4 linked regions of the Struthio camelus genome follow. The protein of the gene in region 4 purifies or fractionates together with the protein of the main gene of each other region. This does not show direct contact. Links are inferred from orthologs where the notes say so. Each region holds a gene or a part of one and is shown on either strand. Other genes may lie near its edges.

Region 1 (7,383 bases), on a different chromosome or scaffold from region 4:
AAACCAGCACATGGGTGAGGACATGGTGCTAGAGCCAGGACTGGTGATGATATTTGCACACGGAGTGGAGGAAATATAAGGACTTTCAAAGCAAGAAACGCTTCGTGCTGACAAGGGGAGAGGAAGGAGAAGGTGAAGAGGCAGAAGGGACTGGGGGAGTAGCTGGTCAAAACCACTGGTGTTCCCTAGCCGCCTGTGTGGTTTTGTTAGAGCCTTATCCCCTTGAGCCTCTTGCTTCCTAGCTGAAATGATTAAATGCCTCTGGTAAATACTACTTAAAACACTTGGCCCAGCAGTGAACACACAGTGCAGCCCATCCGTGTTTGCCCCTTGCAGATCAGCTTCTACATGCAATGTCTTTCCAAGGGGGGAGAGGGAGAGAAAGCACAACTGCTCCACTGAATACCGCCAGACTCTTCAGACCCAGCCTGCGTTTTGGATGCTACTGCCTCCACCAAAGCCCTGGCTCTTTGTGCAACCCAAACTGAAAGGATAAGTTGATCTCGTTGTGGACCGGCCCCATGGCCACTGGTGTCTCTCTTGTTTGTCCAGTGGCTAAATCCTTCTTGGGCTTTATCTCCCTCTCTGGATTCCTCCTGCCTCACTCTTAAAAGGTTTCTCTGTTGCTCTTTCTTCAAGTCTTGCCTCCTTCCATGCCTGACTGACCACACAGTACCTTAACAGCAGGATTTGCTCCCCAGCCTCTTGTGCTGGGCTGGGGAGGGGGCATGGGGTGGGGAGAGGCAGCCCAGGAGCAAGTCCACGAACAGAGCTGTGAGTAGTGCCCCAAAGCAACTCTCGGAAACCTAAAGGCAGCTGGAGCCAAGGCAGCTGAGCTGCTGAGAGAACGAGCCTCCAGCGCTGGTGGAGGGCTGGGGCCTTCCCCCGTGCGGGAGAGACTCTGCGTTGGAGGAACCAGCCTTTCAGATGGGCTCCCCGGCCCCTGGATGCCACCGTCCCTTCAGAACTGCTCTGGCCGTGCCGCCCTCCTGCTGCCGTCGCTCCGTGCGTGCCCTGCGCTGCCGGCCCGGCCCCGGCTCCCTCTGCTCTCCGGACAGGAGAGCCCGGGCTCTCCCAGGCTCGTCGTGCAGATGCTCCTGCCCGAGCGAATGGCTCGTGGCCGCCCAGGCATCTTGTGCCATTTAAAGTTGCCTCCACGCGTTGTCCTTAGCCCTAGAGAAACGGTCCTGTCTGTCCTGTGTGCATTGAGTGTTCGCGAAGAGCTTTCTGTACTGTTACTGTTGTTACTTTTCAGACACTTGTGATTGTGGTTCTGTATTTTTTGTACTTTTTTGGCCTCTCTTGTTTGTATACCCCCCCCTTATTTTATTTTTGAAGTACCATGGACAGGCACCTCAGAACCTGGTTACGTTTACTTGTTGGGAATTTAATTTATTTGCATTTGTTTTGTTGTTTTTTACAGTACTTTTTCTCCTCCTGTGTCTGTGTTGCTCAGATACGGTTTCATCAGCTCACTCCTGTGCCCGTGTGGGCTACTGTGAGGCAGGGATTTAAATAATCAATAAACAGCGTTCTGATTGCTTTACATGGGGCTCGGACAACATCCTCACTGCCGGGATCGGGCGTCTCTGCTCCTCCTGGGAGCTCCAGCTGTCCCTGCTCACCGGGAGGAAGAAGCCAGGAGAGCACCCGTGTATTTTGGTTCAAGAGAGTTCCCTTTCCCCTTCTCTGTTGCCCCTGCAGCAGCTGTGTTTTTCGCTGGGAGCGAGCGGAGTCGGCGCTCTCCCAGGGAGGACGCGTGGGCGCACGCCAGCCTCGGAGCTCGGGTAGCTCTCCTGCAGCGGCCCCAGGTCCCTTTTCCCTGCATGCATCCCGCTCTGCGCCAAGGGGCCTTCCCGGCAGCAATGCTTCGAAGGGGCCGGAGCAGGCAGAGGGCACCCGGAGGGATACAGAGGGGAGAGGAGGCTGCTATGGCTGTGGGAAAGAAGATTTCCCCACATCCAGCTTCTCTCCCTGGCCCTGCTGTGCCCGACGCCGGGGAGCCAGATGCACGATCGCTCCCGCTAGCCCCGCGCGCGGCCTCGCTCTCCCCCTTTTCCTTGTGGGCTTTCGCGTGCTCAGTGTCGCCCACCGCGAGCGCCCAGCTTGGCTTTTGCTCCGCTGCGAGGCGTCCCCGCTGCTGCCGGGCTCTGCCTCCCTCCCGGCCCTTTCCCTCTCCTGCACGGCTCCAGCCAGCTCTTGCGGGGCGTTTCTGGCTCTTCCGCGGCGGCTCTAGGGCCTGCTGTCACTGTGGGTTTGTATCCTGTATTTTTAACGCAGCAGGAATGTTTTCTGGCGTGGGAATCTGTTGTCCGAGGTGGTTTGTACTTGTTTCGGTGTCTAGATGACGCCCTGTTTGGAGGGGCCAGTGGCGGGGGGGGGGGGTCCTCCAGCCCGGTCCCTTGTGCTCAGGAATGTGACAAAGCTGCTAAATCCAACAGGAAAACTGCACGCGCGGAGCCGCGACGGCCGCTGCCTGTGCGCCCGCTGGTTCTTTTGTGTCGCCTGCGCGACATAAACCGCCGTTCCCGGATGCTGCAGCCTGTCGTCGCTCCGGGCGCTTCTCTCCGCCGCGGGGACGCTGTGGGCGGCTGCCCCGGCTCCGCGTCCTCCCTCCGCGACCGCTCCCCGGGCCTTCGCCGGGGTGGGGGGGGGGCAGCACCCCTGAGACGGGGCTCTGCTCCCCCGGGGGTGTCTGAGGATTTGGGACCCCCCCCGGGGCATGGGGGGGGGCCTGCCCCCCAAGCAGGAGCAGCCCCCCCATAAACAGCTCTGCAGCCGCCCCAAAAGGTGTTGTGCCCCCCCCCAGCAAGGGCTCCCCCCACCCCAAGAGGGGTTGTGCCTCATCCATGCAGCACGAGCTGCCCCTCCCCATCTTCAAAAATAAAAAGCGGGTACCGGGGGGGAGGGGGGGGTTTTGACAGCATCCCCCCCCCCGAGACCCCCCAGCTGCACCAGCCCCTTTTTCGGGCCGGGCCCGGGTGGCCCCCACAAAAACAACCGTCGCGTCACGGACAGGATTCGAACCTGTGCGGGGAAACCCCATTGGATTTCGAGTCCAACGCCTTAACCACTCGGCCACCGTGACTGCCGCGCCTGCCCTGCGCCGCGCTCCGCCTAGACGGCCGCCGCCGCCGCTCCGCCCCGGCCCGGCCCGACCCGCTCGGCCCCGCTCGGCCCGGGGCGGCGGGGGCGGCGCGGACCGGGAGCCTCCAACACCGGCCGCCCCCGGCTCCTCTCGCCCCGGCCGCTCCGCGGGGCCACCCGACCCCCCCCCCATCCCGCCCCGGGCCGCCAGGGGGCGGTAACGGCCGGGGCTCCTCCCACCGCCAGGGGGCGGTAACGGCCGGGGCTCCTCCCACCGCCAGGGGGCGGTACCACCTCGACTCCTCCCACCGCCAGGGGGCGGTACCACCTCGACTCCTCCACCGCCAGGGGGCGGTACCGCCATCGGCTCCTCCCACCACCAGGGGGCGGTACCACCTCGACTCCTCCCACCACCAGGGGGCGGTACCACCTCGACTCCTCCCACCGCCAGGGGGCGGTACCACCACGACTCCTCCACCGCCAGGGGGCGGTACCACCTCGACTCCTCCCACCGCCAGGGGGCGGTACCACCTCGACTCCTCCCACCGCCAGGGGGCGGTACCACCTCGACTCCTCCACCGCCAGGGGGCGGTACCGCCATCGGCTCCCCCAGGCCGCCAGGGGGCGGTACCGCCACGACTCCTCCCACCGCCAGGGGGCGGTACCACCTCGACTCCTCCCACCGCCAGGGGGCGGTACCAGCCGAGGCTCCTCCCACCACCAGGGGGCGGTACCATCATCGGCTCCTCCCACCGCCAGGGGGCGGTACCACCTCGACTCCTCCCACCGCCAGGGGGCGGTACCACCTCGACTCCTCCCACCGCCAGGGGGCGGTACCACCTCGACTCCTCCACCGCCAGGGGGCGGTACCGCCATCGGCTCCCCCAGGCCGCCAGGGGGCGGTCGCGCCCCCCCCGCCGCCAGCAGGGGGCGGTGGCGGCCGGTCGCGGCGGGGTGGGGGGGAGGGAGGAGGGAGGCGGTGACGGCGGCGGCGGCGGCGGCGGCGCGGCGCGGCGCGGCCCGGCCCGCTGGAAGATGGCGGTGCGGAAGAAGGACGGCGGCCCCAACGTCAAGTACTACGAGGCCTCGGACACCGTCAGCCAGTTCGACAACGTCCGCCTCTGGCTCAGCAAGAACTACAAGAAGGTAGGGCCGCCCCCCCCCGCCGCCGCCGGCCCCCCCGGCCTGTCACGGCCCCGCCGCGGCCTCCCCCGCCCGGCCTCCCTCGGGGCTGTCAGCGGCGGCGGCGGGCGGGCAGCCGAGGAGGGGGACCCCCCCCACCCCCGGGGGGGGGTACATCAGGCCCGGCCTGCTCACGCCCCCCCCCCCCCCACCCCGGTGCAGTACATCCAGGCCGAGCCCCCCACCAACAAGTCGCTGTCGAGCCTGGTGGTGCAGCTGCTGCAGTTCCAGGAGGAGGTGTTCGGCAAGCACGTCAGCAACGCGCCCCTCACCAAGCTGCCGGTGAGACCCCCCCCCCCCCCCAAACCCGGGGGATCGGGCCCCAGAGACATCCCCCCCCACCCGGCGGACCGGGCCCCAGAGACCCCTCCCCAAACCCCAGGGACATCTACCTCCTCTGGGGACCAGGCCCCAGAGACCCCTCCCCAAACCCCAGGGACATCTCCCCCCTCCGGGGACCAGGCCCCAGAGACCCCCTCCCCAAACCCCAGGGACATCTCCCCCCTCCGGGGACCAGGCCCCAAAGACCCCTCCTCAAACCCAGGGACATCTCCCCCCCTCCAGGGACCAGGCCCCAAAGACCCCTCCCCAAACCCCAGGGACATCTCCCCCCCTCCAGGGACCAGGCCCCAAAGACCCCTCCCCAAACCCCAGGGACATCTCCCCCCCTCCAGGGACCAGGCCCCAAAGACCCCTCCCCAAACCCCAGGGACATCTCCCCCCCTCCAGGGACCAGGCCCCAAAGACCCCTCCCCAAACCCCCAGAGACCGCCCCCCCCGGGAACCAGGCCCCAGAGACCTCCCCACCAACCACTCCCAGGGATTGAGCCCCAGAGACCTTCCACCACCTGGAGGACCAGGCCCCAAATATCTCCTTCCCGGGGAATGGACCCTAGAGATTCCCCCCTCACCCCCCCCTCCTGAGGGGCTGGACCCCAGAGACACCTCTCCCCCCCAACCCAGGCACCAGGCCCCAGAGACCCCCGAGGACCCGACCCCAGAGACACCAGTCACTGCACTCCCAAAACACGACAACTGTGCCCCAAAATCCCTCGGCTCTGCGCCCTCCCCCACCCTCCCGTCGAGCTTTGCACCCTGAAGACGGCCAGGGACTGCACCTTGGGGACATGGTTTGCACCCCAAAGAAACCCCGGGGCTGTGGCCTAGGGACGCCGGGGGGGGGGGGGCGTGAGCAGGCAGGGGGGGGGTCTGCATCCTGTTGGCCCAGGGCAGCGCCCAAAATGCGCCTGGAGACAGCAGCCCAGTGACCCCTGCGCTGTGCCCTGCTGACAGCCGGCACCCCGGTCTGTGCCGTGTCCCGCCGGCACCCCGGTCTGCGCCCTGTCCTAGGGACGCTGCTCCAAGGTGGGGGGGGGGAGGGCAGTGCCCCAGTGACCTCCCCCCCCGGGGAAGGCGCCCCGCCCTGACCAAAGGACAACGGCCTGACCATGGACAGCGCCCCCGGACCTGGGGACAGTGCCCCGAGACCACCACGGACAGCGCCCCGAGACCACCACGGACGGCGGCCCAGTGTGCGGGCACAGTGCCCCGATGTGCGGGCATGGCGCCGTGTCTCCCCCCCCGCCCCCCCAACCCCAGCTAACTGCCCTCCCGTGCCCCCCCCCCCACCTTGCCCTGACTCCTTTGCTCCCGCTGCAGATAAAATGCTTCTTGGATTTCAAGGCGGGAGGAGCCCTGTGCCACATCCTGGCGGCGGCCTATAAGTTCAAGAGCGACCAAGGATGGTGAGCCGCCCGCCTTTCGCCCCCCCGCGCGGGGAGGGTGGCCGCGGACCAGGAGGATGGGGGGCCGCAGGGGTGGGGTGGGAGGGCGTCACGTCCTGCTCCGTCCTGGGCCTGGGGGAGCGGGAGCGGGTCGGAGCCCTTTGTCCCCCTCGAGGGACCACGTTGGGGGTGCGCTCGGGCCCATTGAACGTGCCCACTTCCCTGGCAAGCGGGTGGCGGGGCAGAGTCCCCCCTGCCTCAGCCAGGGCCCCGCGGCGGGGCTCGGGTGCTCCCCTCCCTGTCCCCCAGGCAGGCTTTGAACAGCTGATGAGGAGACCTGAGCTGTGGCTTTCATGAGAGTCGCTCTTTTCTTCCAATAAGGCGGCGTTTCGATTTCCAGAATCCTTCGCGGATGGACCGCAATGTGGAGATGTTCATGACCATCGAGAAATCTCTGGTGCAGGTAACGGGCGCCTCCCCCGGCCCTCCGCTGCCCCTGGCCCCGCTCCCTCGCCCCTGCTCACTGCTCTGCTCTCTTCCTCCCCCAGAACAACTGCCTGGCCCGACCCAACATCTTCCTGCACCAGGAGATCGAGCCCAAGCTCCTGAGCAAACTGAAAGACATAGTCAAGAGACACCAGGTAGGTGGCAGTGCTTGGAGGGGGGGGTGGGCCTCATCCTGGTGCTCAGCCTCATGGCCTGACCACCTCCTCTGCTCCCCTCGCAGGGCACGGTGACTGAGGACAAGAACAACGCGTCCCACGTTGTCTGCCCCGTCCCTAGCAACCTGGAGGAAGGTGGGTGCCTGGTGCCAGCCTCTGCAAGGAGAGTGGCTCGGGCTGAGCGTCCGCTCTCGGAGAAATGCTGTGGGGTTTTGGGGTTGGGGGGACAGGGCTGAGCGAGGCGTCTCAGGGCCGTTCTTCCAGCAGAGCAGGGACACGGCAGTGCAAGCTGCGGCCTGGGGTTGGTGCTCGATGCCCCAGTCTGCCAGCATCTGGCACTGAGTTAGCTCCCTCCCTCTGTGTCTTCCAGAAGAGTGGGTCCGGCCGGTCATGAAGAGGGACAAGCAGGTCCTCCTGCACTGGGGCTATTACCCGGACAGGTGAGCAGGGCCGGGGCACCCCGCTGCTTGCGCCCAGCCCCGCTCTCCTGGAGGGGCTCCAGGATGTGGCTGACACCATGCACTGGCCTCCGGTGAGCGAGGCGTCCCTCAGGGCACCACTCTCACCCCTGCCCCTCTGCTCCCCAGCTACGACACCTGGATCCCCGCCAGTGAGATCGAAGCCTCGGTGGAGGATGCGCCGACGCCGGAGAAGCCCCGGAAGGTAATGGGGCCGCTGGGCTCAGACGGAGGCTGGGCTTGGCCCTCTGCCTCGCCCGCGCAGAGCCG
Region 2 (7,555 bases), on a different chromosome or scaffold from region 4:
CTCATGGGGGTCCTGGAGCTTGTGGGTCTTAATATATTGCCACAATGCCTGGATGATCACTGGACGGGTCTGAGTGTGGATCCCCAAGAGACGAGCCAAGCGGGGATCCAGTTTGAACTGAGGAGGCTGAAACAAAAAGCACAGAAAGACGAGATAGGAACGCGGTGACAGACAGGGCTCAGCAAACACTACCGGCCCAGCAATGTTGTTCCAAACAGCCTACCTGGTAATCGAGCATCAGGAGGACAGTACAGCGCACATTTACATCTCCCGGCCTCTTCACCTGGAAACCATCTGTCTCCTGAGTTGTAGCAGTCCTGTGCCACTGGGGGACACAGAACAGGAGAGTGCGTTCAGTGGCACCCCTAGTCTTTGTTCCCTTTGCTCCTGCTGGGTACCCAACATGCTTGCTGGTAACCCCCACCCACCTACAGAGAGTTAGTCTCATTCCCATATATAGTTTGAAGCAAGAGTTAATGCACTTGCTCAGAGCCCCAGCAAGTCAATGGAAAAGCTAAGATAAGACTTCAACAGCTCCTAGCTCCCAGCCACTTGTTCAAGCCACCACTACCTCTCGAGACATGAATGACATGCAAATTCTGTCTGCTGAACAACAACCCACTTTTAGAGATAGTGCAGCAAAAAGCAGCTCACCTCTACCAGGTGATTGTCTGGGCCATACAGGTCTTTATCAAGTTCAATGACCAGAGATTTAAAGAAGGATGAGAATTTTCTTTTCTGTTTGGTGGCATCATATTTGGACAAAGCAGACTGCAAGCAACACAGGAAGGGTGTTAGGAGAGCTAATCTCAGTACTCGGTGGTGGACCTAGAGCCCCAGTTAGCTTCTTTTAACCGGAGACATCAATGCTTGTCTCTTTCCCTCCCCAAAGGGGTTGGGTGTCTCACACTCACGTCTTCCAGCAGCCTTCCTTCTACCCGAAGCTCCCAGGAGGCAACTGTGCCTTCACCATCCTCTGCATCTGACTTGGCTGGGTTGAAGGTATTGGAGATAAAAATACGTAGCTTTCGCTTTTGCTAAGAGAAAAAGCATCAGCTAAATGTTAATTTTGAAATAAAGGATCAACTATATTATGTTTTGCTAAAACTAAGAGGTTCAGTATCCTTATCTATTTCATATTCTACCTCTCCCAGGACGGGCAGCAAGGAAAGAGGAACATCAGGCCTTCCTGGCTCTGCTCCTCCGTTGGCATCTGGAGTACTAAGGTTCCTGATACACTGTGCTTACAGCGACAGGACCCAAGTTTCAGTGCACTCCTGCTCTCTTAACTAAGGTAAGAGTCTCCAGTCCTTGCTTACAGTAACATTGAACATAATCCTCTCTACCTTAATGGGTCGCTTCAAGGCCTCTTGGATATCCAAGCGTTTCCGCATGATCGTCTGGTCCAATTTCCTTTCGAAGGCCAGTAAGTCCATATAGGCCTGAGACTCAGGTACAAGTTCACGAATCTACAGCAGAGCACAAGCCAATCAAGAATGCAAGTCACCGTTAACTCCCCCACACTTCTCCGATCTACTGCATCTCAACAGAAGCTGCGAAGGCACATGCCACTCACCCTCTGAGGTAGAATTTTGTCAGCCATCTTCTTCTTTTTAGCGCTGTTAAGGAAGGAGATGCACACACACATGCATTAAAATGGCAACCACTCTGTCCTATGTAACTGCAGGCATTCGTGAAGGGCGTGAGGATGACGGGTTATTCTCTGGTTTAGTGCTGCAGCATTAGCAGTGCTCTTAGCCTGGGTGCCAGCCGTCAGTCCAGCCTCTCATTTTCAGAGGCACTTACTGCTTCCAGTCCCCACACGCAGGCAGGCTCTTTACTCCCCACAGCCCCTGCCCCACGAGGCAGCCAGTGCTGCAGAGCTGACAAACGCTGCAGCACCGTGACTAACCAGTTACCTGAATGCTTCGCGTCCCCTCCGAGAGCTCGGGAAGTGGGGTTACATCATGTTGAAAGGGGCATGCTGACATAATATCGGGCCAAAGTGACTCTCAAGCCTAATTTAGCTTCAGTTTGACATGCTTTAAACCAAGAAATGAGTTAACAATGATGCTAAGGCTGCCATTATACTGCCAGAAACGTAACAAGCTTGCCCTTGTCTAGCAGCTGCACATTAACGCTTTTATCGGCTGGAAGCTCCCCTCTCCCCAACAAGTAGCTGCCCAAGGAAGCTCAAGTCCCTTTGAGCCGCCCAACAAAAAGCGGCAGTGAAAAGCCCAGGCACGGCACGAAGGCAGCGCGCCCCAGACCCGCCGCAGAACAGAAACGCATTGTGCTGCCGGGAGCAGCCCCCGCAGAGCCGTGACCGGGATGTCCCCAGATCCCGGGGCACGGCAGAAGAGGGGGGCGTCACCGGCAAAAGCCTGCACCCCGGGGGGGAGCGGGGGGGCTTTAAGGGAGGGAAGGCGTCCCGGTGGCCGGGGGTGCCCCGGTGGCCGGGGGTGCCGCTCCTTACTTGTGGTTGCGGTTGGGCACGGCTTGCGGCTGCACCTGCTGGAGCTGCTGCGGCGCCGGCCTCTTGCGGGCCTGGTCCAGGCCGGCCTGCGCCATACCGGGCCGCACCGCCGGGCTCCCGCCGTAGCCCGGCGGCCCCATGGAGGGACCTTGCGGCGTCAACCGGCTACCCGGGAGCATCCCGGGGCGCTGCGGAGAGAAAGAGACCGGTTCCAGTGCCCGCCGGGCGGCTCGGGGTGGGGGCAGTGCCCGGCCCGGCCCGGCCCGGCCCGGCCCATCCCCGCCCCGCCCCGCCCGGGCCGCCCCGGATAACGGCGGCCGCCGCCGCCGGCCCCTCCCCCGCCTCACCGGGTAGGCGGCTCCCGGCAGCGGCGAACGGTACAGGCCTTGTCCCGGAGCCGGGCCCATGCGCACCGGCCCACCCGGCGTGCCCGGCCCCAGGGCGGCGGCCCCGGCGGCGGCCCCGCCGCCTCCGCCGCTGGGAGTCACCGCCTGGAAGCCCGCCCGCGCCGCCATCTTCTCCCAGCACAAAGGGGAGCGGGCCGGAACCGGACGCCGGCCATAGAGAGCCCGCGCGGGGCGTCGAGCTAGAGCGTCGCCGCCCGCTGCCGCCCGCCCCCTGCCGCCTGGAGGTCCGCGCTGCCGGGCCGGGCGGAGGAGGGGGAGTCTATAGGGGCTCCATGGGGGGATGCAGGGGCTGGGGGGAAGGGTGCTGGGGCCACGGGGGGGCGTTGGGGGGCTGTGAGGGGTGCAGACTCCATGGGGGGTCCATGGGGGGATGCAGGGGCTGGGGAGGAGGGTGCTGGGGCCATGGGGGGGGACCATGGGGGGATGCAGGGGCTGGGGAGAAGGGTGCTGGGGCCATGGGGGGGCTCTCAGGGGTGCAGAGTCCATGGGGGGATGCAGGGGCTGGGGAGAAGGGTTCTTGGGCCATGGAGGGGGCGGTGGGGGGCTGTGAGGGGGTGCAGAATCCATGGGGGGATGCAGGGCAGGGGAGGAGGGTACTGGGGCCATGGGGGGCAGTGGGGGGCTGTGAGGGGTGCAGAGTCCATGGGGGGGTCCATGGGGGGATGCAGGGGCTGGGAAGAAGGGTGCTGGGGCCATGGGAGGGCAGTGGAGGGGCTGTTGGGGGTGCAGAGTCCATGAGGGGGCTATTGGGGAGGGCTGTGTGGGTCTTTGGGGAGGGGTGCAGCATCTGGGAAGGGTTGGTGGGGGATGGGGGGGTCCATGGAAGGCCATAGGGAGGTGCAGGTGCCATGGGGTGTCCATGTGGGGCTGTGGGAGGTGCAGGGTCTAGGGGGCTGTAGGAGGGAGCAGGGACTATGACGGGTCCATCAGGGTGCAGGGTCCATGGGGTGCTGTGGGGGGAAGGGTGCAGGGTCCATTGGGAGGCTATGGGGGGTGCAGAGGCCTAGGGGTGTCCATGGGGCGTTGTGGAGGGGGTGCAGGGGCCATGGGGAGCAGTGTCCTTGGAGGGGGCCTAGAGATCTATGTTTCTTTTATTTTCTTTATTCCCTTTACGTCCCTCCAGCTCACAGTTTGCTGTATGTCATCCCCCTTTGTCACCATCTGTACTGTCACGGAGGGGTGTCTGGGGTGGGAGAGGCAGCTCTGTGTGCCAGGGGCTCTGATATCCATAGAAAACCACCTGTAAGACACTTTCCAGCTCCCTAAGCCCTTAGGCTGGCAGCCCCTGAGCTCGTCTACCTGCCTCAGCTGGCAGCACACCTTGCTCTGATCTCCTCTGCCCTCTTCCAGCTGGGCTGGTTTCCCCTGCAGCCCTCAGGGCTACTGTGCAGGAGCTGCTAGAGCCGGAGCTGCTCTGGGGCTGAAGGGGGTTGGGGTATGAGTCTTGTGCTTGGCTGGCTTTTGACGGTAGCGTTGGCTCTTACAATATCTACCTGTTGCAGGAGATGCTGGTCTGGTCCTGCAGCCTCTCTTGCCCTGGGGTGTGCCCCGAGGAAGGTTGCCTTGCCTGCGCCCCGGAAAGGAGGACTCTGAGATGCCAAAGTGGCGGTAACGCCTCTCACTGGAGCTGCTGTCCTTAACATCTTAAGAAGTAAGCATGTGGGGGCATAAATGGATGTGCTTTTATATCGGTGTGAATATATATGTCTGCGTCAGTATGTTGTAGCTGAAAGACTTCGTCTAGATGGTGATAATACTCCACAGAGGTACAAAGTTATCCGAAATAGCTCCTCACAAGGTCATGCCAAATTACTCTTTGCATATGGATAAGTGTGAGTTAATGGAGGGACTTGGAGGATGTTCAGAATGGGATTTCTGAAAGTGATTTTTCAAAGGCTGGAGGCAGAAACCTCCTCCCAGTACGTAGGGTTTGAACCTCGGTGGTGACTGGATAAAGAGGGGGACTCGTGAGTATAGACCACCAGGTTTCACTGTGGGTTCTGCCACTGATCAGGTAGCCGGGGCCTTGTTTGTTCAGGTTTAGGCTGAACAGCCAGGTAAAGGGCTCCGATCTCCCTCAGCAGCGGCTTGGGCTGCTACAGGCAGCACAATGTTAGATTTAAAGGCCACTTTCTGCAAGTATTAGCATTAAGCTCCCTATTCCCTAGAGCGCTTCCCCTTGTGGTTGCTCAGAGAGAAAAGGGACATAAATGCAGCCAACGTTAATTTGTGGGGGAAAAAAACCTAGGTGAACAGTCACATCACAAGCACTAATTAAACAATTAATGATCATGGATCATTTAGGAGGATGTCCTGTACAGTGCATGGCATTGTCAACTGAGCAAAGAAGTGGGGATGTGTTGGTACCTTCTCTGCCAGATACGGTATTTCCTACCCTCAGTGCTTTGAGCACAGCCTATTAACTGTTGTCTCAGCATCCGTGTGTCCATGCAGTTAATTTAATGCCACCTCTGACAGGCTTGGCGCCCAGCTGCCTTATGAAATATTCATGGGGAGGAAAAGCAGCGGAACTTATCTGCTCCGTATTGTTTGGATGCAACTTTGACTGAGACTTAAAGCCTGGCAGGATGGCAGGAGCCTTTTGGGCAGGCTGGAACTGCCTGGCTCTCCTGGGAGAGACAGAGTGAGGAGCTGTGAAAGCAGCAGAAAGCAAGGGCTAACCTGAGAAGTGGAGAGAGGGAAATGGGAGTCAGATAGCTGCTCAGTTTGGCACAGGGAGCTGCAGGGTCTTGAGAGCCCCGGTGTTGCTTGAGCTGAGCTGGGAGCAACCCCAGCTCTCTGTCCCCTGTTATTAGCTGTATCCCCTAAGAAACACCTTCCCCCTTGCCTGTGCCCTGAGGGTTTGGTTGGTTCACTCCTCCCAGTGGAGATGGTTTGTGTGATGCTACCCCGTGCACCTTGGTTTTACTGCACCTGCTGGCGCAAGGCAGCTACTCTGAAACCTTCCTCCCCAACCCGTATGGCTCTGGCTCCAGGCAGCCAAGCAGCATCCAGGACTGTGTAATTATATCTCAGCGCCTGTTTCTGCTGGCAGCTTTAGCACTGAGCAAGTGGTAAGCGGGAATTACTGCCAGGGAGGAAAGGAGGTGATGCTATCTCTGCCATGGTTTTATGCATCCTGCATGATTAATCCTTGCTCTGTAGGGTTTCAGCAGCCACACGATCTGCGAGGTAAACACAGCAGTGTGCAAGCAGGTGCTTCCCAGCGTCTCAGGCCTAGGTGTGTCACATCTCATCCTCACGTAGATCATCAGAGATGCTTCCTGCGACGTGTAATTAACTGTCTTGCGCGCAGCATGAATCTCGTGCAATAATATTGAGTGACAGACGTGGATGAACACGCATGCTGCCTTTGCTACGCACCTTGCAGGCTGCCAGCCTCACGCAGTGCACCCATCCGTGCACCACAGCCCCCCTCAAGGCTCCCTGGCCAGCGGACACTGCCCCGGCATGCTCTGAAGGTGCACAGCTCGCTTGCGCAATGGAGCCTTGAATATGGAAACATACAACCTGTGCACTTCGTAACAGGGCTGCTCACATTTGTGTGCTGTCTGGCTACCTGCGGTACTCCCAACGTGCTCCCGCGCCCAGCTTCTGGGATGGGAACTGTCTTGGCTGTGCCACCTTTGGGTCCAGGCTGTGCCTTGCAGCACAGACACCATTTCGAGCGCAGCGGCAGAAACGGCTCTGCCAGCCGTGCTGAGGCTGGGGATGTTCCTGCGCAATGTGAGGCTGTGACAGATGGAGGGGGTGACCTGCTCCCAGCAGGGTTAATGGGGAGCTGCGAAAGAGATTACAGCCCTCAGCACCAGGGCTGCTGCCTGCCCCCTGCAACAGGAGCTGCTGTGAATGCCACTGCGGAGGGAGCACGCGTGGTCAGCTGCCCTGGCTACTCAGTGGCTGGTTGCAATTAATTTAGGTTCATTAACTCCCTTCTGGCAGTTAGCTATATTATCTTGTTCCTATTCAAAGCCCACCCTGTAGCCTATGCAGCACCGGCTCTGGCAGAGAAGGACCAGAGTAGCAGTAAGTCAGTTCTAGTTTAAATGCAAAACACCCGGCTGCCATTTCCAGGAGCAACAGGGGCATGACCAGAGCCAAGTGACCAGAGGGAGTTTGGCATTTCAGTATTCCCTGCCCACTCACTGTTATTCAGTCTGTGTGGGGTCCTGAGGGCTTTTTCTGATGCACAGTGTTGGATCTGGCATGTTACTTTTGCTCTCTGCAGCTGGAAATCTTTAGGACAGAAACTGTGTTTACATATGGCTTGTGCTACAACTGCTACTAACTCTGTTAAATTAAAAGCAGGTGAGATCCAAGCCAGTGACTCATTTCTGCTGAAACTCAGGTGTCTGTCCCAAACCACAAAAGTGTTAGAGTTGTCAAGGATTAGCAGCTGTGCGTATGTTAATTCTCGTCCCCCCTTGGGAGCAAAAATCAGTTCCCATCCTCCAGCCCTGACGTGTCCTCACGTGGCAGAGCAGGACCAGGCAGCGACACTGGAGCTCGCTTAGGTACCAAGAACAATTGCCACATTAGCACAGCAAAGCACGCGTTTGAAGACTTCATGCAAGTCCAGACTACAGCTTTATCCTTTCCCCCAGCCCTTCCTTCTGGCCTCAGCTCCAGGAGTTCAGCGAGACCTTCAGGA
Region 3 (7,682 bases), on a different chromosome or scaffold from region 4:
TTACCAAATACTGCAGTTCAACGACATATGCTCAGTGCCTCACCCTATGCCAGCCATACGCTCCGAACACCTGCTTTGATCGCGGTGTTATGGCCGGCGCGGATGGCAGGAAAGCATATGTTAGCCTATTTACACGAAATGAGAGCGATGAGTGACTCCCGGCTGCTCGAGCCAGGCACCCGGGCTGGGTTTTGCAACCTACTGCATGGACGGTCAGGGTAAATGAGCAAGATCTCTCCCAGCCCGAGAATCCTTTGAATCAAGTTACAATTGCAACCGTTGGTTAATGCTCAGATTGGCCTTGAATATGCCGTCTCAATTTTCACTTCAGGGCTCTTCCGTGTTTTAAGGCTACTCAGGTTGTTTCCTCATTTTGTATTAATGAAGTTTACAAGTTGGAAGCTCCCTTGGTTTGATTTTTTTTTTCTTAAGTTTTCATTCATGCAAATAATGTGGCAGCTCTGGAGGTGGTGATCAGTAGAGATTGAGAATCTGTTGCACAACTGGGCTCCTCCATTTCCAAAGAGCATCTGGAAGAAATCGCTTTAAATCAGAAGCCTAGCCTCTTCAAAATAATCACCATGTGCACAAGAGCCAGCTCACAGACAAGCCGCGCATGCAGTGAGAAGCGGAAACTTGAGTATCAGTTAAAATATACTCTTCATAAAACATATTCAGGCAGAAAGTAGAACAATTACACTGGCTCTGGCTTCTCCAGGGCTGCTCACTGGTCAGATCTACCTTCAAGGCACTTGCATGTCTCCATTTTTCCCCCTCAAATTAACAAGCACCTGCTCTCCTCTTCCATCACCTCCTTGTCTCTTCAGCTTCCTCTTGCAAATATGCACCTGCTACTTGGTTATGGTTACCCCTAAATTTGCAAAAGGTGCATATAAACATGTTTCAAGGGAGCTCTGCGCAACAAGAAATGGCTGTGAAGCTGGAGTTGGACATATGACTTCTGCTTGGAGTGGCTTGTACCTCCTCTGCTCCAAAATTGTTTCTTCTCAGCCCAGCAGATGAACAGCCAGCGGTCCCTGAGTCTCACCGCAGCGCAGATAGAGTTACGCACCTTGGCTCCTGCTGGGTGTTTACAGCAGACCCGAACTATCACTCTGCTGCTACAACAGACAAGATTTGCACAGCAATGCTGCCAAATATTCAGCTGCTAGCAACTTTTATGGGGATTTTTAAGCAGTTAGAAACCATGAAGAATAAGGAAAGATGGAGCATGCAACCATTCTAAAGGAGCTGGGCCCACTCTAGTGAGCGCAGGGAGATCTACTACCTGCTGAAAAGCAACAGAGTTGCTCCTGCTGGAGCAGCAGAGTTGTGCTAGGAGATGAAAATCTCAGAGCATTTTCTGGAAACTCACGGAGATAGGTTTGGAAGCAGCTGCCTTCATTTCTTTCCAAAATGATTACTATTCGAAAACACGGGTCTTATTGTGCCTCAGTTACCTCATCTGTAACAGCAAAAGACATCGACCCCTCACTGGGCATTTGCTCATAACTACATTTATTTAAAGGGCCTCAAAAAAAAAAAAAACATTAAAAAAAAAAAATCAGGAAACGCAGCCCTAGTGTGCTGGTCACATTTCCTCCGTCCTAACTGCCAAGGCCATATGCAGAGCAGCCACTTTGCCAACTTACTCCTTTCCCCTGGTCAAAAGCGCCCCCGCAAGGGACGGTGCAGCTGAGAAGCTGCTAAAAAGCACATTCAATCCCCGAGCGATTCTCCACTGGGAAAGCAGAGGGGATCTGGAACATATAAGAGCATGGTTGGATTCAAGTACATTCCTGCAGCATGTTTCATTTGTCCCCCACACACACATTCCCCAAAAGACAAGAAAAAAATTAAAAAAAAATAAAAAAAAGGATATTCTTCCTGCCTCTACCGAGCTGCTAACACGGCACCCTCGGAGCTGCCCGATGGACCTCTCCAGACACCACCGCCAAACAAAGCCATCGAATCCCCACGAGCGCAGGCCAGGCCACGCTTTCAAGCGAAAGTTTGCCCTCCGGCCTCTCCCCACGGCCCCTTCGGGGGGTACCAAGCCCTCATGGGGAAATCACAAAGGGACTTTGGCCAAATTCAAGACAGAGAATTTTAGCATAGACCCTGGGTCCCACGAGAGGAGCGGGACGGATGGTAAACGGCACCTAGGTATGTCCTGGGCAGGGATATCCGTCTTCTCCCAGCTTTGGGCAGGACCAGGCTTCTCGTGAGCTGGTCCCAGCAGCGGGCAGGGAAACAGCTCCCCAGCTGCACCCACCGACGAGCAGGACCTCGGCACCGGGGCCGCTGGAGCCCCCAGAAAGGGGAAGAGGACCCGGATCCGGCCTCCCTGGTGCCTGTGCCCAGCAACAAGGGGCCGAAACGGAGATGCTGCGAGGAACAGGGTGGCCCCAAGACACCTTGTCCTGAGTGGGGCTGGGCTAGCACCCACAGGTGCCTGGGAAACTGTCCCCAGTGGGGCCTGGCCAGCACCCACTACTGCCCAAGGAGTCTATCCCCAGTGGGGCCAAGTCAGCACCCACCCAGGGAGCCGTGCGACGTCCAGTGGGGACGTGCCAACATCCACCCGTGCCCGGTACAGGGCCATGTCCCGAGTGGGGACCAGCACCCACCCGTGCCCAGCGAGCCCCACGGCACCACGTCCCGAGCGCGGCCCCGCCAGCACGCACCCGCGCCTGAGGACCCGCCTCGAGGGGAGCCGCGCCAGCGCCCACCACCCGTGTCCTGGGAGCCCCGCGGCGCGGTGTGGCGGCCCGCGCCCGCGCTGCCTCCGCGGCTCCGCCACGCGAGGGGCCGAGGCCTCACCTGGTACTGCGCGGCGGCCGGCCCCATGGGGCGGTAGCCCGGGGCGGCGGCGGCGCCGGCCGGGGCCGGGCTGGGGCCGCGCAGGATTCCGGGCGCGGGCCCCGGGGGCGGCGGGGCGGCAGCGGCGGCGGGGGGGGGCAGCGGGCTGAGCGGGAAGGCGCCGCGGCCGGCCATGGCGGCGGCTGGCGGCCCCCCGCCCGCGCTGTTTACTCGGAAGCGGCGGCAGTCGGCGGCGCCCAGGGTCGGGAGTCACCGCGCGGCGCCGCCGGGCCCCGCCCCCTCGCCGGGCCCCGCCCCCGTCCGCGCCGCTCCGCCCCCCGCCTCCCCGCCGGCGGCGCACGTGGCCGCGGCGCGCCCCCGCCCCCGCGCGCCTGTGTGTGTGTGTGTGTGTGTGTGTGTGTGTGTGTGTGTGTGTGTGTGTGTGTGTGTGTGTGTGTGTGTGTGCGTGTGTGCGTGCGTGTGTGTGCGTGTGCGTGTGCGTGCGCGCGCGCGCGCACATATGCATGTGCATATGTATGTGCGCGTGCGCATATGTGCACACATGTACACATGTGCGCATATGTGTGTTTGTGTGTGTGTGTGAGTTGTATGCATGCGCCTGTGTGTCTCTCTGTGTCCATATGTATGTGCCTGTGTACATATGTGTGTGCACATGTGTGTGCACGTGTGCATGTGTGTGTGCGTGTGTGTGCATGCACATATGTATAGCCATGCATATATGCATTTGTACATGTGTGTGCACATGTGTATGTACATTATGTGTGCATATGTGTGTGTGTATATGTGTACATATGCATGTTTTGTGTGTGCACGTGTGTCTGTGTGCACACATATGTGCACGTGCCCATGTGTGTGCCTGTGTTTGTGTGTGTGCATACGTATGCCTGTGCGTGTGTGCGTGCGTGCTGCCCATGCACCTGGGCGTGCAGGTGTGCGCACATGTGTGTGAAGGCCTGTGTGTTTCCACGTGCAGGTGTGTGTACGTGCGCAGGCACATGGAGGTGCATGCGTTTCCTCAGGCAGGCGTGTGGGAGCTGAAGGCATGCCTGTTTGGGTGTTCAGGCCTGGGGGTGTGAAGGTGCGTGCGTTGTGGCAGTGTGGGTTTGAGGCCAACCGTGGTGGCATGGGAAGGTGCGCGCACGTGCAGGCGCGCGTGTGTGCAGGTTTGTCGGTGTGAAGGCCTGTGCGTTTGCACGCGCAGGCGTGTGTGTGGGCGCGTGCAAGCATGTGCGCGTGAAGGCATGTCCATCTGCACGTGCCGGCCTGGGGGCATGAAAGTGCGTGCGCATCGCTGTGTCTGCGCGCTTTCTCTGTGCGGAGCGGCTGCGCGGGCAGCGGGCCGGCGCGGGCGTGCCCGGGGAGCCGGCGGCCTCGGCGCCCCCCGGACGCCCCCGGCGGGGTCACGCCGGGCTTCCGCCGGGCGGCGGGGGCGGCGCGGCCGCTAGGGGGCGCCGGCGCGGCGCCGCGCCCGGCCGCTCGCTCCGCCCGGCGGCAGGCGGCAGCGTTTCTTGGGCCAGCGCCGCGGCGGTGCCGGTGCCGGTGCCGGTGCCGGTGCCCGGGCGGGCAGAGCGGCGCCCAGGGCAGCTCCGCCAGGTACCGCAGCGGCAGCGTCGGGGCCAGGCGCGGAGCGGCGGCTCCTCGGCCCCAGCGCGTTGCGGCTCCGGCGGGGGAAGGGGCCGGGGCCGGGGCTGCGGCGGCCGCGGGGTCCGGCCTTTGCCCGCGGCTCGTCTCGCTGCGAGCCGGCCCCTGCCGTGCCGGCCGTGGCGGGCCGTGGGGCAGGGGCCGGCGTGGGGCGAGCGATGGAGGTGGGAGCCGGTGTGGGGTGAAGAAGGCTGCAGGGAGCTGGTGTGGGGCAAGAGATGGCAACGGTGTGGGGCGAGGGATGGAGGTGGGAGCCGGTGTGGGGCGAGGGATGGAGGTGGGAGCCAGCGTGGGGTGAGGGATGGAGGTGGGAGCCAGCGTGGGGCGAGGGATGGAGCTGGGAGCCGGTTTGGGGCGAGGGATGGAGCTGGGAACTGGTTTGGGGCGAGGGATGGAGCTGGGAGCCAGCGTGGGGCGAGCGATGGAGGTGGGAGCCGGTGGGGGATGAAGAGGGCTGCAGGGAGCTTGTGTGGGACAAGAGATGGCAACGGTGTGGGGCAAGGGATGGAGCTGGGAGCCGGTTTGGGGTGAGGGATGGAGCTGGGAGCTGTCGTGGGGCAAGGGATGGAGCTGGGAGCCAGCGTGGGGCAAGGGATGGAGCCGGGAGCCGGCATGGGACGAGGGATGGAGCTGGGAACTGGTTTGGGGCGAGGGATGGAGCTGCTGTGGGGTGAAGAGGGCTGCAGGGAGCCGGCACGGGGCGAGGGATGAAGTTGGTGTAGGGCGAGCAATGGAGAAGGATGCGCTGGGATAAGCTGATGTGAACAGCGGCTGCTCCGCTTGCAGGTGTCAGAGGCCCCGAGTGGCCCCTCGGCCCCGCGTGGCCCCATGAACGTGGTGCAGGACAGCTATGAGTCAGTGATCTCCCTGGGTAAGGCTCTCCCGTGCCTCCGTGCTCCTGGACCGCAGCAGTGATGGTCACTGGGGACTTTCTGCAGGCTATAAATCCAGCTGTGGCCACCGTGACACCCGCCTCCTGCAGGGCCGCCTGCGCCAAAAGGCGGGGAGCATGTCCACCAGCCCTCGCTGTCACGGGTGCAGTGGTAGCCCAAATTCATTGTCTGTGCTCGTAGCGATCAGGGGGACTGCTCCATCCTGCTGGGACCCAGTGTTCATCCTGGGCTGGCGCTGCCTATCAAGAAGGGCTTTTTGTGCTGCTCCATTCGGTGGCAGCAGTCTGACCTTGCGTTGTATTGCTGGCCCCCGCAGAGATTTTGCCTTTGGTTTTCCGCTTCCGTTCATGGGGGTCAGGAGGAGAAGTCTTTGCAACTGTTTCATAACTGTTTCTGTCTAATTTGTGCTGCTTTCTGCCAGCGGAAGAGATCGCCATGAGCTGGCCACGAATATGTGCCTTTGCAGAGCCCCCCAGGCGCCTAAGCTTGCTGTGCTGTAAGTTGTCGACCAGGAGGAAAAAGCCACGGCCTCAGTTATTAGCCCATCTGCTAGAAGGTCCTTTTCGGGCCGCTCTGGGAGCAGGACGTCCCCTGCTGCATGCGCTAGGGTGGGTCTGGGGCAGCAGAGGGTTCACAGCCACAAGCATGGGGCTCCCAGGGACCCTTCTTCACCCTGCCTGTAATTTCCCCTTCCCTGATTCCTTGTGTTTTCCATGCTCCCACCCTGGTGCCATACACCTTGTGCCTCCTGCCTGGAGATGCATGCTGGGCTGGCAGAAAGCCCTTTAATTTTATAATAACTCTCCTTAATTTTATAATAAATAAATGAGTAGAAAACTAATAATGGCTACAGAAAGGCCAGATTTTCGCTTTAAAAGAAAGCTTGTCTGCAAAGGACCAAAAAAAAAATGTTGCCAGCTTGGTTTTGAACAATGTCTACAGCAGAGGTTGATTAATTTATTCGATCTGAAAGGTGGACATTAAAGTGGATGTTTAGAATTCACCGAACAAAAAAGCAACTGTTTCTTTAACTTCCGCAGCTTCATAAGCTGTATTCTTGCCCCCAAAACTGGTGTAAAGAATGATATAAAGAGGGACTAAAATCCCTGCATTCCACTTCTGACTGCAGAAAACTGTATAGCTGTTATTCAATCTGGTCAATACTTTACTTATAGCTTTAAATTTTTGGACATTGACTTCTGGTAGAAGAATCTGCCTACTGATACAGTTTAGTTAGGACACCCCAGCCATATTTTATGCTAGCAAATAACGGGAAGCTTATTCCAGTGAACTGTAAAGATTTCCTTGTGGGAATATACTTGTCATAAGATATATGCAGTTGTCCATCACCAACACCTCCTTTGCTTTGCAGATGTTGACATGGAGCCACCCCGGGGGCAGCTGGAGCCGCCGCAGGGTCTGGCAACGACCCCCTGGAGCCAGGGGCTGTTGCTGCCCGATTTCCGGAAGCAGCTCATGGCCATCATGCAAACCATCGGCCAGAGCCAGGTGGAGAAAATGCTACGGGAGCTGGTGAAGGAGCAGAAGCAAGAAGGGAGAGTCCAGTGGTGCCGCAGGCCCGTGAAGAGCCTTGGCAGCGGAGGTACAGGGTGGCAGAGCAGGGACGTGCTGCAGGTTTCTGCTCTGCCCTTCTTCCCCGCAAGACATGCGTTTCTCTCTGTTGCAGCAGGCAGCAGGACTCAGAAAGTGAAGGAAGAAGCGCCTCCTCAGGACGGCGGCGTGGAGCCGACGGGTGCCTGGGGCATGTTTTCAGGGATGCCCAGAGGCTCAGAGCAGCACCCAGCCCTGGCAGCCCAGCAGGGCCCTGAAGAGGCACCCGAGAGCCCTCCGGCAGCCCCCCATGGCAAACCGGCTCGGGCGGGAGCCCTCGGGAAGGCCAGAGACGTCCCAACCCCTCCAAAACGCTGGCCAGAGGAGCAGGGCCGAGGCTGGGGGGCCGGCTGCAAGGAGGGCTGCGGTGGGCAGTGCGACGCCCCCCCAAAAGCTGGCAGGGGGCTAACGGAGAGACCTCGCTGCTGCCCTGAAAGCGAAGAGCTCTCTGCCTCGTCTCCGAGCCCTCCGCTGCGCACGGAGGCTGCGGAGCGCCTCCAGGTCCAGCCTGCACCCGTGGGGAGCCCCCACGAGTGCCCGGCCCGCGGGAGGCATGTGGGGACGGGCTCCCCCATGCTCCCCCAGCGCAAACCCCCCTGCGAGTGCCCAGCCTGCGGGTACTATGTCCGCCTGGGTCCCAGCCCGGCCAGGTACCCGCGAGCCCCCAAGGGCGCCCGGGCTCAGGGTCCCTGCACGGTTTGCGGGCGGCGCGGC
Region 4 (7,388 bases):
CCTTAGACACCCAACTACTTACACTTGTATACTGCCCACTATGTGTTCTCACCAGTAAAACTCTCTGCATTTTCTAGCATTTAATAAATCTTTTATAAAAAAAGAGCATTTCCATTATTTTGTAATGCTGGCTGAGAACGCAACAGTTTTCACCCCTTTCTGCTTGAGGGCCTGTTTAAGACCTACATATACTTGCCAATCTTTAAAACAAAAGATAAGCCCATATTGTTTATAATTCATTAAGTTAAATTTAACTCAGATGACTGTTTAATAGACTGGAAGAAACGTGACAGCTATTAAGAAGAAGTAGGTCTATGCTCTTAGCCATGGAAATACAGCGTTCTGCCACACAACCATGTATTTTGTAGGAAACATATTAGGTGTCTTCTAAAATAAATGCTCATTCATGAGAGTGATTTAAACGAAGGAGATTAGTTTTAATCTCGAGATTAACAAAACTATAATAACTCCACCGTTTACTATTATAAGTCAAGTTCCAGTAATACCAAAAGTGCTAGGCACGATACAAGCACGCATGAAGACAGGTGCCTGCACCAAAGGATGGATTTCTGTCTAAGAAAGAATTCATATTTCCTACGGGACAAACTCTGTACTGATGGAAACTCACTTCAAATAGGCATGCACACACACGTGGCAATACAGGCACACAGTAACACTCTACAACAAGGAGAGTTGCTGCTGCACACCTTCACCTACTGATGGGAGTGCTGGCCAGCACGCACCAGGGCCGCTGTCAGTTCAGAGAGGTTTGCAATACAGTCTGCCCCGCTTCTGTCTTCAGTGCGGAAATGCGACATGTACAAGTCTCAGAAAATTCTGTTCTATGAAACACCGTATGCAAGGTTTTTTAATCCTCAGTGGCTGCATTTCCACAGAAAAGCTGTGGATGGCAACAAATTGCTCCTATTATGCAAATGAAACTGCACACTGAAAATTGCCTATGTGGCTCTTCGTAAGATATAGGAATTGCTAGCGTATAAAGTTCAGTTTCACAAGTCTTCTCAAAACATCTGAACCACAAAACATAGAATCTCTCTTGCTAATTTTCAATGTACTTGACTGCAAGTGAACAGGGGGAAAAATAACCATGAGCTATACCAGCAAATTATTAATTCTTTTAAAAATATGAAAAATGGTTTGTGTAAATACTTGCGAGATGCACACGCAAAAAGCCATATGAATACTTCTGACCGTAATCAGAAGAAACACTTCGCATGATTCTGTACAGTAACCTTTTCAAACAAGCTCTCTCTCAGGAGGGTTAAAATGTACAAAATCTATTTATACCCTAAGATTCCTGTTTTATAGGGGAAGCCATAGCAACTGACATGATGGCAGAAAGCCCTTGCCAAGAGGAAAAAAAAAAAAAAAAAGACATTTTCTTGAATGGCCAAGCTCCTGCCTCTACTCCTCTCTGAAATCCACCAACTGGGATTCAAAGGAAACGCACTACACTCATGAATGAGATATCTACAAATAAAATAGTCCCACACATCCAACAATACTACTCTGATTAAAAAGTACTGCCACATCGCTATATAGTTTTGAGCCTTCCTAGCTGGCCAAAGAGTCAAAAAACAACACTTGAAAACATCACCAGAGAAGAAGAGAGTTCCTGAAATCAGCAGAGCTGTAATCCTCCGACTGCTTCGCTCCCTGCACAATGGAGGGATTCTCCGAAATCCCCATCTCGTGCCCTGCATTACGGGACACACATTTTGATTCTTTGTCCAGCTCAAGCCAACTGGCCCATTCATGTGCTCAAGGCCATTTAAAAGGCAACAACCCATTTTGCCAGGATAACACACACATTTAATTTCTGCTTCTTCTTCTTCTTTTTTTTTTTTTTTAATGAAATCAAAGTATTTAGCTGTGGATTACAAGAAAAGTGCCCCCTTATTTTATCAGGTTCAAAACAGCTACGCATAGGAAGAGACTTGCTGTGGATTTCACACGTTTACAGGAAGATTTTAAGATGCATGCACAAAGACTACTGAGCAGTCTACTTTTTGGAAGAAAGATCCAGTCTGGGCTCACACCGGCACGGCTCCTCATCCCATCCCAAAACACTAGACTGACTGCGCCCAACACTGCCATAACTGTGTTCCGCTGTATTGTTCCAACGCCTCGTGTTGATTTTGACAGGAAAAGCAGAAAAAAAAAAAAAGGCAAAAAGCGTGTTTCAAAAAAAAAAAAAAAAAGGCCAAAGCACTTTCCAGGCCCAACAAAAGGGAACGCTTTCGCCGGGGGTACAACCTCCAAGTGCACAACTTGGAGCCAATCCGAGCAGCAGTCGCGCCCTCCCCCGCTCCCGCTCCGCTCGGGATTCACGGCCCGACGGCCCCGCGTGGGTGCGAACCTGGGGGGACGGGACTTTTTTTTTTTTTGGGGGGGGGGGGAAACAAAACAACTCTTGGAGTTGTTCAGTGCCATTTTTAACGCTTCCCCCCCCCCCGCCCCAAACACTTCTCCAAGCGGCAGCTCCACGCGAAGCCGCCGGGCGCCCAGCTCGCCCCGGGCCCCCGCTCAGGGGAGGGCGGCGGCGGGAGGAGCCGCCACCACCGCCGTCCTTTCCCCGCTCTCCGGGGCCGGGAGCCGCGGGGCAGCGGGCCGGGCGGCGGCGAGGGGGCTCGGCCGCACAATGGAGCCGCCTCCGGCCCTCACACGCCGCCGCCGCCGCCGCCTTCATGTGACTCGCCGGAGCGAAATGGCTTCTGGGTGCCGGCGGCTCCCCCGCCCCCCGCGGCCGCCGGCGGGCTGCGGGCAGGGCGCGGGGGGCCGGAGGGGGCGGGCGCGGGGTCCCGGCGCGGCGCGGCCCGCTCACCATTTGCGCACTTTCTCGATGGCCGCCATCACCCGCTTGATATCATCCTTCGCCCGGCTCCGGGTCTCGGCCCGCACCGACCGGCCCGACATGCTGCTGGGAGGGGGGGAGGGGGGAAGGGGGAAGGGGAGGGAGGGGGCGGCGGCCGCGGTGCTCGGCTCGGCTCGGCTCGCGGCTCCCGTCCGTCCGTCCGTCCGCCCGCCCGCACAATGCTCCCTGCGCTCGGCTCCGCTCCGCTCGGCTCCGCTCGGCTCCGCCCGCCCGCCGGGGCCCGCGCACTGCGCACGCGCCCCGCGCCGCCGCCGCCGCCGGCAGCAGCAGCAGGAGCCCGCGCGCGCGGGGCCGAGGCGGGGCGGGGGGGGGGGGAGGAAGGGGGCGGCGCGCGCGCGGCAGAGGCGCCGCCAGGGCAGCGCGCGCCGGCGGCGGGCCGGACGCCTGGGCCCTTTGTTGGTGGCGAGGGGCGCGGGGCGGGGGGAGCCCGGCCGGAGGGATAAGGAGGAGCCGGACTCCTGGGCCCTTTGTTGGTGGCGAGGGATATTGGGGAGGGGGGGGGAAAGGAGAGAGGCCCGGACGCCTGGGTCGCGCGGGTGTCCCCGACGCTGAGGGCGTCACGTCCCCACAGCGAGGCCGCGGGGACAAACCGGGCCAAGGGGGAGCCGGGCTGGGGCGCGGGGCTGCCGCCGGCCCCCCTCGGCGCATGGGGGCTCGGCGTCGCCCTGGCGCGGCCCGCGCGCCCCACCAAGGGCAGGGGTCGCCTCTCCGCGCGGCCTGGGTGCCTGCGCTGAGAGGAAGATCCCCGGGGTGCTCAGTCTACGGGGTGTGTGTGTGGGGGGGGAATTCAGCCCGCTTGGCCTCAAACTTTGTTCTTAGCACACCGGATGCTGGAGCGTAGCCACCCCGCGAGGCGCGAGGGGGATATCCGAGTGACAACTGCGTCCAGCCCTTGTGCAAGTGGTTGTGACACCGTTTTGCAGACCTCGAGCGCGGTGACTGGCAATGCTTCCTGTTAAGCAAAACATCTGCTTTGTTAAACAGCACGTTTAATAAATCCACAAAATGCAGATTTTTTTTGCAGAGTCTGTAAGGCTTCTCAGCTGCCTAAAGTGCTTCCAAAAGCTTCCATGGAATTAGGGCGATGTAAAGGGGGTGAGGATCTGAGCCAGCACAGATACACGGGAGTGTTTGCGCATAGAAGTAAACGGGCAGAGAGAGCTACCTGCGAAGTCATGCTCTGCAGAAACTCTCTAACCTCACATACCCTGGTCACTGTGCTACTGGACTTCTTTATTAACTTGTACCTAGTTGTAACGTCTTGCTGTTTGTGCTAACTGAACAGCCCCAGATATTCTACGGTAGGTAACAGCAGTCTCGATTTAATAAACATTGCCACTGAAAGGAACGCTTCTTAAGGGCCTACATTATTATTCAAATTGATGCTGAGGAAGATGTAAAGAAGGAAGCGCGTTCAACAGCTCTTCACTGATCTTTCTACAGCAACTTATATCAGCTTCATTACACTGTTTATACAAACACTGTAAAATGCTGTCCCATTGGTATTACACTACTAATTGGAACTACTACTTTCAGAAAGAAAAACACAAGTTGTAAAGACCAAAATAGAAACCTGGTTTTAATTTGCATCTCACTGTTCCTTTCTTTACTGAGGGCTGAAGGATGGATTACTGATGGATTTATTTGTATAATTACCAATCCGTTCTGATGTATTCAGGCATTTTGTACATTACATTTATCAATGTAGACAATCCATATAATACTTTTACGTCGCTATTTGACTGTCAGGTTTTACAAATAAACATCGCCTCAGCATGATGAAAATAGACTGCATCAGAACAGCTTCATCTGGCACAAACCCACCCTAAAATGAATTCTGGGAAGATTCTAGCCAAGAACAGGGATGATCAATGCAAGAAGATAATGCACCGACTACTCTTTTATTCTTTGCAACCACCCCTGCGATTCTGTACATAGTGATGTTCTCTAATGGCTCACTGGACTACAAGATAGATGTTTTTACAGCGGAGTCTTCATGCTGCTCTCCCAGAAGATCACTTCAGGACGGCACCATGTTCATTTAAACCACTGTTTATTAACTTCCCTGCGAAAGGGTATTAGGAGTGTTGGCCATGCCTGAATGGCAGAAATACTTCCACTGATGATCTCCAAATCCAAACTTTCCACAGTAGCAGTACAGAAGGTGGAATACTAGGACCGTGCTTGATTTGGGAAATAGATTTGATCCCACAGGTTTGTGGCCTGCGCTAAACCAGGGGTTAGACAAGTGTTTGTTCAGTCTGAAATTATATTGCCTTTATTTTTTCATAAATGCAAAATACAAATTTCACAGATACTTGAGGAGAGGAGATTGCAAAGTAGGAACGAGTAGAAAACTTTGTAGCAGCTATGCTTCCGAGCCTTCGTGGATCCAAGATTCATCTCTTTTTTCTGTTCTGTTTTTTTCTGGTTCAGGAATAGGTAAGCCAAGAATGTCAGCAGTGAATATCTCTGCTGTGATTTCATCTGGAATTTCTTCTTCCAGTAAAGCTGCTGCACCTGGAGAGCAGTAACAACAACACCAACAACACAAAACAGACAACAGCAACATAAAAATGGGTTTCCACAGAGTAAGGTTTATAAGCAGCAGTTAAGTGGATGGAATGTTTTGAAGATGTCTGAAGCGATCGTGAAAAAGGATTGGCTTAGCTTAATACTTTATGCCCTTATACTTATGCCTTATAAGGGGACAAGCTGTCAAATCTGTGAGGCTGACAGCCTCATCCTGCAGTAAATACCTATCTCAGAAAAGTCACGAGAACAAATGGAACTTTTACACTCCGCTGATTTCACTTGGTTCTAGGATCTTACGGAATCCAGGGATTTCAAAGTTGGTTTACAGCGCTAGACAGTTCCCTTCAGAAGAGGTACCTTCGAAGCCCACAGGTCCGTGGGCTGACAGCCCTGACCGGATGCTGTTCCGGACTGGCGTGGACTGGGACATGAACTGTATAAAAATGTGGTACTTTGCAGCAGTTCCAATTAAAATGGGCAATGCTACTTGGATGAAATCAACACTATAATTTGCTATTCTAGACTGGTGTAGACTGGGACATATATTGTATACAAATGTGGTAGTTATCAACAGTTCCGTTATAATGGGCATTACTGCCTGGATGAAATCAACACTATAATTTGCATATTCTAGGATTCCCTTTTGCCTGTGGACTTTGGCATGTAAACCTTCCACTGTGTGCTTCTAATTTCAGTTCCAAGCCAGCAGATAAACACCAATGTAATCTTGTCAGGTCCCAGGTACATCTCATTGCTCATTTATTTTTATATACACCCATGCAATGGTTGCATGTATCAAGGACAATCTATAGCTCTATGGCTATTTTTGCAGTCCTGTCGGCATATTTTTGACAGCTCTTGGCCTAACAGGGTAATAGGTTTGCAATTTAAATTACTCTGTTGGGGAACCGAAGCAATTCTACTTCTGTGTTGCGTAGAACGATAATCCTGTGTACCTGAGGTATCGGAGGTGCCCGGTTTAGTTATTCCTCCCTCTGGATTCATGCCCAGCAAGGTAGTCAGACATGCTGCCAGCTCTTCTTCTGTCATATGCTCTCCTGTACAATAAAGCGAAACCAGTCTCTTGGGTTATGGTATCATTAACACAAAAACTAGCAGATAGCTCTAACAAGAACAGTGTACAAACAGAATAGGGTAGTATGAAGGAGGATTTGGTTTCTGTGAGATGCAGACCACATCACCAATGGAAATGCATGATCCCAACACAGGAAAGCGTTGATCCGAGGGAAAATTGTTCATGTATACTGTGCGTTTTGGCCAAACATATTTATCAAAGGGAGAAATTGGAGCCGTTGCTCCAACTGGAGCCGTTGCAGACGGCTTTTTAGGTTAGGTTGCACTTGCAAGGGCTTGTGCTTCTATTTCCACTGAAGAGCCCCTGGCACAGGACAGCCCACAGTCCAGGTAGCCCAGTGTCCGTGGCAGTAGCCAGTTCATCACTCAGAGGAGGAAGAGGAAGGTGTGGGAAAGTCTTTAATATAGTATCCCGGAATAACCTGAATGCAGCAGTTGTTCCCAGTTAACGGTTGCTCATGCCCTGAAGCATAAGGTTATAGATCTGTTATGAAATTGTTCTAGCGTGTCTAACGTATCTATTTATGGGTGTTCACACCAGCCATAGAAATAGCTACCCTTTCTCATACCGGTTGAATCCTTGGTTTCCAAGCATCTTTGTGGCAAGGAGTTTTACTAGTTGATGGACTGAATGAAACAACTTTTCTCTTCACCTATTTTAATGCTCAGCTGCACCAAATGCTCCTTGTTCTGACAATAGGAGCAAGACAATACAAGTACTTTATTTACTTTTCTATAGCACTGGTCATCAGTATATTTACACATGCCTTTACAATGCTCTCTCTGATTAAGCTAAACTAAACCATTCTCATCTTTTCAGACCTTCACATATAGATTCAGTCCAGAACTCTGACCATTTTCA

Evidence for each region.
Region 1: the proteins of BCL7A (region 4) and SMARCC2 purify together in Homo sapiens (affinity purification with mass spectrometry; 4 studies listed by BioGRID and IntAct, counting the BioPlex papers as one, with this or other methods). This does not show direct contact. The link is inferred for Struthio camelus from reciprocal best matches to the Homo sapiens genes BCL7A and SMARCC2.
Region 2: the proteins of BCL7A (region 4) and SMARCD1 purify together in Homo sapiens (affinity purification with mass spectrometry; 5 studies listed by BioGRID and IntAct, counting the BioPlex papers as one, with this or other methods). This does not show direct contact. The link is inferred for Struthio camelus from reciprocal best matches to the Homo sapiens genes BCL7A and SMARCD1.
Region 3: the proteins of BCL7A (region 4) and SMARCD2 purify together in Homo sapiens (affinity purification with mass spectrometry; 5 studies listed by BioGRID and IntAct, counting the BioPlex papers as one, with this or other methods). This does not show direct contact. The link is inferred for Struthio camelus from reciprocal best matches to the Homo sapiens genes BCL7A and SMARCD2.

The regions. Positions count from the first base shown.
Region 1 is NC_090969.1:554,959-562,341, forward strand, and holds the start of SMARCC2 (SWI/SNF complex subunit SMARCC2), read left to right. Parts: upstream 1-4,060; 5' UTR 4,061-4,122; coding exon 4,123-4,233; intron 4,234-4,431; coding exon 4,432-4,551; intron 4,552-5,928; coding exon 5,929-6,014; intron 6,015-6,374; coding exon 6,375-6,456; intron 6,457-6,541; coding exon 6,542-6,634; intron 6,635-6,720; coding exon 6,721-6,790; intron 6,791-7,025; coding exon 7,026-7,095; intron 7,096-7,242; coding exon 7,243-7,318; intron 7,319-7,383. Other genes in the region: RNF41 (E3 ubiquitin-protein ligase NRDP1), read left to right, coding at 1-79. UniProt on the Homo sapiens protein: Involved in transcriptional activation and repression of select genes by chromatin remodeling (alteration of DNA-nucleosome topology).
Region 2 is NC_090969.1:1,483,787-1,491,341, forward strand, and holds the start of SMARCD1 (SWI/SNF-related matrix-associated actin-dependent regulator of chromatin subfamily D member 1), read right to left. Parts: upstream 3,007-7,555; 5' UTR 2,992-3,006; coding exon 2,824-2,991; intron 2,665-2,823; coding exon 2,477-2,664; intron 1,620-2,476; coding exon 1,577-1,619; intron 1,470-1,576; coding exon 1,347-1,469; intron 1,038-1,346; coding exon 915-1,037; intron 772-914; coding exon 655-771; intron 326-654; coding exon 224-325; intron 127-223; coding exon 1-126. UniProt on the Homo sapiens protein: Involved in transcriptional activation and repression of select genes by chromatin remodeling (alteration of DNA-nucleosome topology).
Region 3 is NC_090966.1:2,793,752-2,801,433, forward strand, and holds the start of SMARCD2 (SWI/SNF-related matrix-associated actin-dependent regulator of chromatin subfamily D member 2), read right to left. Parts: upstream 3,013-7,682; 5' UTR 2,998-3,012; coding exon 2,824-2,997; intron 1-2,823. Other genes in the region: zinc finger protein GLI4-like, read left to right, coding at 5,293-5,335, 5,779-5,853, 6,730-6,960, 7,045-7,682. UniProt on the Homo sapiens protein: Involved in transcriptional activation and repression of select genes by chromatin remodeling (alteration of DNA-nucleosome topology).
Region 4 is NC_090958.1:17,698,915-17,706,302, reverse strand, and holds the start of BCL7A (B-cell CLL/lymphoma 7 protein family member A), read right to left. Parts: upstream 3,110-7,388; 5' UTR 2,938-3,109; coding exon 2,846-2,937; intron 1-2,845.